Oryctolagus cuniculus: one gene and its partner. The main gene of each other region encodes a partner of the protein of the gene in region 2 in a complex. Links are inferred from orthologs where the notes say so. Each region holds a gene or a part of one and is shown on either strand. Other genes may lie near its edges.

Region 1 (3,942 bases), on a different chromosome or scaffold from region 2:
AGCAACCATAATGTTCTTAGGATGTGTTTGATCAGCTTCATTTTTAGAGATACTTTCACTAAAGTGAAACTGACTACTTTATACTTTAGTTGCATCTTGAACTCAAAAATCCCTTTGTACCAGCCGGAGCCTACAACATAGCACCTTTTCTCATCTGCTTGAAGAAAAATGCTTTGTCAAGAGTTTTACTTTGAATGGTTGATTTTTTTTTTTAAAATAGCCTTATGATTCTCAGATATCTTTGGTAAAAGCTCCATTATACAATATGGCCAAAGCATGAAGGACCAATACTGTCCAACTATACCATGATATCCCGCTCAGTTTTGTTTTCAGACACCCTCATAAACGAAACCCACTCCACTTTTTCCTGTATACTGCCTTTGCAGTCTACATTTCTGAAATTCCCTAAGTTTAATTCCTTGAGGATCACTAAAATTAATCCTTAAGGCTATATAAGAACCAGATGGTGCTTCACAACTCTGTATCAAGCATTAACATTTGGTTCAAAATACTACCATAGTGGTCTCAATCTAGCTACTGGTCCTAACTTGCTACCCAAGTAATTCTGTTAGGATCTGGATATCACCAGTGAGCACACTGCTTACCCTTGAAGAAAAATAAGTTTACATTCATTGTCATCTGTAGGTTCTCTCTTCAGCCCACTTCCCCTTTGTCATCCCTTAAGTCTACACATCCAACATTCATTCATCACATTGCCTTTCTTAAAGGAGACAGTGTACTATTGAACCAACAGGTTGTCTTACTATTTGCACGAGTTAATCCCACAATCAAACAAAATTAAATATCTTTTTTATAAAACATCTTTTCCAGTGTTCTAATTAAAGGAGATGTGGATCACTCATCTATAAAAAATGATATATCTTCAGCTTAGTCAGTTGCAGTAATGTGAAAACAGGAATGTGTATTTTTCCATCTAGGTAAAAGGTGCATATAACTTGAATCATTAAATGCTTTATTAATGAACAAACTAATGTTTCAGTAACTTTAATACTACTGCTCTTAAGACACTTGAAACAATGTATAAGTATTCCAGTTTTGCCCAAAAGTCGCTTAAAATATCTACAGATATCTGTGTGTGGCACACACCATTATTGCTCCATTTTCTGGAAGGAGTCTATTTTTGATGTTAAAAAAAGGAAAAGTTGCTAACTTTGCAGTGAAAAAAAACCTCATGTCCTTGGCGGGTTATACTTTCATATTTTTTGCAGTGTTAAGTTTGCTATGTTATGACGACCCTGGGTTTTATTCCTACTCATGCATGATGTATGTCTTAGGAGTTAATAGCTGACATTTCAAATAAGTTCTTACATTACCTGTTTAACATACTGATGTGCAACTGGAACATATTACAATGATATTACTCATTATTTGCCACTGTGGGCTAAGTTTACTTATACTGGTCTTAGGTCACATTTGAAATTACTAAGTTAGAATTCATAAGGGGGGGAGCCTTAAATATAAAAGACAAACGGCAGTTTGATTAAGCAATAATTTTCAGTTTACTAGATGAAACAGACTTGCAACATAGTCTGCATGAATGCAAAATAAGCCATCTACAGCAAGTGATAAGGAAACTGGATAAAAAAAAAAGGAAAAAAGCATACATTTGGGGGGGAAAAAGATTCTCTAGAAATAAAAAAATCAAACCATTATTATAAAGGACTTTACCAAGAACTGCTGTATTTCCCCCACCCCATTTGCTGGAAGTCAACAAGAGCACCTAGCACTTTGTGTTCATGTCAAACGTCAAATCAGAGCATCCTAACGCAAAGCGGAATAAAGAAAAGAAAAAAAAAAAAAGCAAAAAAAAAAGAAAAACCCCAACCCCCCCTCCCTAAACCGTAGAACTGTAACTCCAGAGTTCAAATTCAAAAGAAGAGAAAGTGGCGATTGAAAGAGGTGATGGTGGCGATAATCCTATGAATGGGTTTTTGATTTCTCTCCTTCCGGGGGCTGGGTGGAGAATGCTCATTAGGACTTGTAGTTAGAGGTTAACCATGTGAGCCCCTCATAGAGTCCGTCCCCTGAGGTGGCACAGGAGGGCTGCACATACCAGTTCCTGTCCCGAATCCGGGTCAGGCCCAGTTTCTCCTGGATCTCATGGGGTTTCATGGCATCGGGCAGGTCCTGCTTGTTGGCGAAGATGAGGATTATGGCGTCCCTCATCTCCCGGTCATTGATAATGCGGTGCAGCTCCTGGCGGGCCTCGTCGATGCGGTCGCGGTCGGCGCAGTCCACCACGAAGATCAGACCCTGGGTCCCGGTGTAGTAGTGCCGCCAGAGCGGCCGGATCTTGTCCTGGCCTCCCACATCCCACACGTTGAACTTGACGTTTTTGTAAGTCACCGTCTCCACGTTGAAGCCCACGGTGGGGATGGTGGTCACCGACTGGCCCAGCTTCAACTTGTACAGGATTGTGGTCTTGCCGGCCGCGTCCAGGCCCAACATGAGGATCCGCATTTCCTTGTTCCCGAAGATTTTGGATAGCACCTTCCCCATCGCGACGGAAGAGCCGGGGCCGGGGGCATTCAGGTGTCCCGGTTCCCCCTCAAGCCAACAACGCCGCCGCCGCCGCCGCGAAACCGAAACGAAGCCTCCCTGCCGCGAGGGCGCCCGTGCGGCCTGCGTGGGAGTCGCCTCCTACGGGGCGAGAGGCCCGGGCCTGCCGCTCACTCGGGCATCACCGACCCGCACAACTTGGTTCCTCCAGCCGCCGCCGCCGCCGGGGCCCTGAGTCTGCGCCCGGAGAGCCGCCGCCCTGCTGAGGCGCGGCCCGGCCCGGAACTGCCCTTCCCCCCCGCAGGCGCCGCGCGAGCGCCGCCGCCGTGCCCGTTCCTCCGCCCGCCCGACGGCCCGCCGACTACCGGGCTCGCCACCGACCCAGGCCACCCGTCAGGCAGCGCGGCGCCGGCGTCCCGTCAGGTCATGGATCCTCGCGGGAACTCAGCGCGCTGCCTGCGGAGACACAGAGAAGGAGAAGGGAGTTACCGCCGGAGCTCCGAACGGGAGCGGGCGCGGAGGCCGAGGCCGCCCGCCTTAACAGCTCGGCCCCCGGGTGTCGGTGCCGGGTGGTGGTGGTGGGGGTTACCTCCAGCCGCCGCCCCGAGCACGGGCTCGCTCCGGCCGCCGCCACCTCCTCCCAGCTCTGCCGCTGCCGCTGCCGGAAAAGGCGCCCAAGAAACCGCCTCACTTCCCCTCCCGACCACGCAGGCGCAGCGCAGGCCGACCGTTCGGACAAGAGCGACCTCTGGAAGGAGAGCGGCCCGCGCGCCCAGCGTCACGGGCGCCACGCGCCGGAGGGGGCGGGGCTACGGCGTCCCGGAGGGCTCGCGGGTGCCGCCCGCCCGAGCCCGCGCGCCTCGGGCTCTGGCCCGCGCCCACCTGTCGCTCTCGCCGCGTCTGCGCGCTCGGCGGCCCCTTCGTTCCGCGCCTCTGCCCGCCCCCGCAGTCCGGGGAGCAAATACTCCGGGGAGGTGGGGAAATGGAGCCTCCGCAAGGGCGGGGCCGCCGGACGAGCCGCCCCCACGGAGCCGCTTGCAGGCCCGGAAAGTTCGGCGGACTTCGCGCGCCCCGGGTCTCCCGGGGACGCCTTGGCCGCTTTTTAGCTTTTTCTCCGACCCCCTCCTTGGTATCGTTGCCTCTGGTGTTCAGGGTTTTCCTGGAAGACGCATGGGAGGCCGGCGCGCTCGTGTTGAACCCGCCAGTCAGTGGCGCGCCGTGGCTGGGCTCGGGTTTGCTCGGAAGCCCCTCTCTCGAACACTGGAGCCCTGTCCGTGTTGCATCAGGACCAGCTCACGTTTCTTGTAAAAGCTGGCGGTGAAGAGCTTTCTGGAACGCGATGAACTGTTCTTAGTCCAGTGTCACTTCCTTTTAGTATGGGAGCGGCAGCTGCTCACCCACCCACCCACCCGTGCTGCAGTC
Region 2 (3,500 bases):
ATTAATTATCCTGGGGTCAGTGCTGTGGCATAGCGAGTAAAGCAGTTGCCTGCAATGTCAGCATCCCATATGGGTGCCAGCTCGAGACCCGGCTACTCCACTTTTGATCCAGCTCTCTGCTGTGGCCTGGGACAGCAGCAGAAAATGGCCCAAGTGTGTGGGCCCCTGCACCAGCATGGGAGACCCAGAAGAAGCTCCTGGCTCCTGGCTTCAGATCAGCATGATTCCAGTCATTGCGGCCATCTGGGGAGTGAATCAGCAGATGGAAGACCTCTCCCTCTCTCTCTGCCTCTCAAATAAATCTTTAAAAAAATTAGTTATCCTAAGTACATATAGTACCTTAAAGATATTAGTGAGACTTTAATTTTTTAATGTTAGTTTATTTTTATTTTTATAAAGCTTTTATTTAATGAACACAAATTTCATAGGTACAACTTTAGGAATATAGTGGTTCTTCCCCCTATACCCGCTCTCCCACCTCCGCTCCAATCCCACCTCCTACTCCCTCTCCCATCCTATTCTTCATTAAGATTCATTTTTAATTAACTTTATATACAGAAGATCAATTCTATACTTAGTAAAGATTTCAACAGTTTGCACCACACACACACACACAACATATAAAGTACTGTTTGAGAACAAGTTTTGTAGTTAATTCTCATAGTACAACTCATTATGGACAGAGGTCCTACATGGGGAGTTAGTACACGGTAACTTTTGTTGTTAATTTAACAACTAATACTCTTATTTATGACGTCAATGACCACCCCATCCCAGGCTCTTGTCATGAGCAGCCAAGGTTATGGAAGCCTTTTGACCACAAACTGTCAGTATTTAGACAAGGCCATGAGCAAAGTGGAAGTTCTCTCCTCCCTTTAGAGAAAAGTACATTCTTCTTTGATGGCCCTTTCTTTCCACTGGGGTCTAGTGAGACTTTTAAAACCTTTGCATTTTCAAGATAAAGATAAATTTCTTCAGTTTTTTTAGAAAATTGGTTTTTACTGATATCATTAAAATTTTTAGTGTAGTTAAAATATACATAATATAAGCCGGCGCCGTGGCTCAATAGGCTAATCCTCCACCTTGCGGCGCTGGCACACCGGGTTCTAGTCCCGGTTGGGGCGCCGGATTCTGTCCCGGTTGCCCCTCTTCCAGGCCAGCTCTCTGCTATGGCCAGGGAGTGCAGTGGAGGATGGCCCAGGTGCTTGGGCCCTGCACCCCATGGGAGACCAGGAAAAGCACCTGGCTCCTGGCTCCTGCCAGGATCAGCGCGGTGCGCCGGCTGCAGCGGCGGCCATTGGAGGGTGAACCAACGGCAAAAGGAAGACCTTTCTCTCTCTGTCTCTCTCTCACTGTCCACTCTGCCTGTCAAAAAAAAAAAAAAAAAAAAAAAAAAAAAAAAACATAATATAAAATTTGCCATTTTAACCACTTTAAAGTGTGCAATTCCATGGCATTAATTACATTTATGTTATGCAGGCATCAGCACTGTTTCTAAACCTTTTCATCACTCATAGAAATTCCAACACCATTAAACAATAACTCCCTATGCTCGCCTCCCTCATCCCAACCTCTAATAACCTCTAATTCTATTTCTGTGTCTGAACTTGCCTATTCTAGATCTCTCAGATAAATGGAAGCATACCAAATTTGTCCTTTTATGTCTGGTTCATTTCATTTAGTAAATTTCTAGGGTTAACTTATGTCAAATACCATGTACCAGAAATTTTATCTACAGTCAATAATATCATACACCAAAAAATTTGTTAGCAGAGTAGAGCTCATATTAACTGTTCCTACAATAATTTTAAAAAAATGAAAAAAAGTCATTATTCTTTATGGTTGAATATGTGAATATGATTTCATTGTGTAGGTAAGTCCCAAACAAATTTTTTAAAATCATCTTTTATTTTTTATTTTATTTTATTTTATTTTTTTACAGGCAGAGTGGACAGTGAAAGAGAGAGAGACAGAGAGAAAGGTCTTCCTTTACCATTGGTTCACCCTCCAATGGTCACTGCGGCCAGGGCACCGCGCTGATCCGAAGCCGGGAGCCAGGTGCTTCTCCTGGTCTCCCATGCGGGTACAGGGCCCAAGCACTTGGGCCATCCTCCACTGCACTCCTGGGCCACAGCAGAGAGCTGGCCTGGAAGAGGGGCAACCGGGACAGAATCCGGTGCCCCGACCGGGACTAGAACCCGGTGTGCCGGCACCACAAGGTGGAGGATTAGCCTATTGAGCCACGGCACCAGCCCATCTTTTATTTTTTTAAAAGATTTATTTCATTTATTTGAAAGGCAGAATTACAGAGAGAGGAGAAGTCTTCCATCCTCTAGTTCACTCCTTAAATGACTGCAACAGCAGGAGCTGGAGCAGGCCTAACTCAGGAGCCAGGAGCTTCATCTAGATCTCCCATGTGGGTATAGGGGCCCAAGCATTTGGGCCATTCTCCACTGCCTTCCCAGGCACACCAGTAGGGAGCTGGATCAGAAGTGGAGCAGTTGGGACTTGAACCAGCACATGCATACGTAGTGCTGCATGCGGTGGGTTAACCTGCTACTCCACAGTGCTGGCCCCACAAACTAATTTTTAAAGTAGTATTTTAATATCACATAATATTTAACCCAGAACTTGATAAGACCTTTCCTTATTAATCAATTTAAAGTCCTTTGCCCCGCTTCCCAGTTATCTTGTCATATTACCACTGTTTTACTTTCTTCACAGTATTTTTCAATTATCTGAAAATATCTTGTTTATTCAATAGTTTTCAGTTTATTTTTAATATTCCCCAACTAGAACATAAACTCCATTGCACAACTACATCTCCAAAAGCCAAATTGGTTCCTGCCTAAAAGGAGATGTAGATGCTAGGAAAAGGGGCAGAGTGATAGTGACTCACTCTCACCTGGAACACTTGCAATGCACAGAACATGAGAATTGCAAACAGTGAAACTGTCTAGGATGTTGCCTGGTTGAATAGCATCAATGATGATAACTTTTGTAGCTGAATGTGTGCTGGTACAGATCCAGACTTGACTGGATAATTCTTCTTGACTCTTTAATTCCTTTTGCTGGTCCTGAAAAGGAAAGTAAGGAAAATGAATGAGTGAAATCAGATGCATGTACAATATTCAAAGCTTGTGCTCTGCATGGGAGACATAGAGGAGGCTCCTGGCTTCAGATCGGCACAGCTCCAGCCATTGCAGCCATCTGGGGAGTGAACCAGCAGATGGAAGACCTCGCTCTCTCTCTGCCTCTCTGTAACTCTGCCTTTCAAATAAATAAATAAATCTTAAAAAAAAAAAAAAAAGGCTATGCTAGTACAGTAAAAGGCAATACTACTTCAAATTTATTTCCAGATTATTTGTAAGAGTAAAAACACAACCACCCATCATTATTAATCAGCAGACTAAAAGTTAACAGTTAATTAGATCAGCAAGGTTCAGAGTGCCTGGGTTTGAGCTTCAGGCTCTGCTCCTGATCCAAACTGAATTGTACAC

Evidence for each region. The genes of interacting proteins can lie anywhere in the genome.
Region 1: the proteins of SPAG9 (region 2) and ARF6 are in contact, whole or in part, in a crystal structure (PDB 2W83), measured with the Homo sapiens proteins. The link is inferred for Oryctolagus cuniculus from reciprocal best matches to the Homo sapiens genes SPAG9 and ARF6. Residues at the interface, in NP_001124000.1 of Homo sapiens: Lys431, Asn432, Ile435, Val438, Asp439, Thr442, Cys443, Asp446, Val447, Gln449; in NP_001654.1 of Homo sapiens: Glu13, Arg15, Lys34, Phe47, Val49, Glu50, Thr51, Thr53, Lys58, Asn60, Trp62, His76, Tyr77, Thr79.

What each region holds. Positions count from the first base shown.
Region 1 is NC_091443.1:26,198,546-26,202,487, forward strand, and holds the start of ARF6 (ADP-ribosylation factor 6), read right to left. Parts: upstream 2,801-3,942; 5' UTR 2,521-2,800; coding exon 1,993-2,520; 3' UTR 1-1,992. UniProt on the Homo sapiens protein: GTP-binding protein involved in protein trafficking that regulates endocytic recycling and cytoskeleton remodeling. GTP-bound form plays an important role in the transport of multiple palmitoylated proteins form the Golgi to the plasma membrane.
Region 2 is NC_091448.1:26,795,299-26,798,798, forward strand, and holds part of SPAG9 (C-Jun-amino-terminal kinase-interacting protein 4), read right to left. Parts: intron 3,078-3,500; coding exon 2,906-3,077; intron 1-2,905. UniProt on the Homo sapiens protein: The JNK-interacting protein (JIP) group of scaffold proteins selectively mediates JNK signaling by aggregating specific components of the MAPK cascade to form a functional JNK signaling module.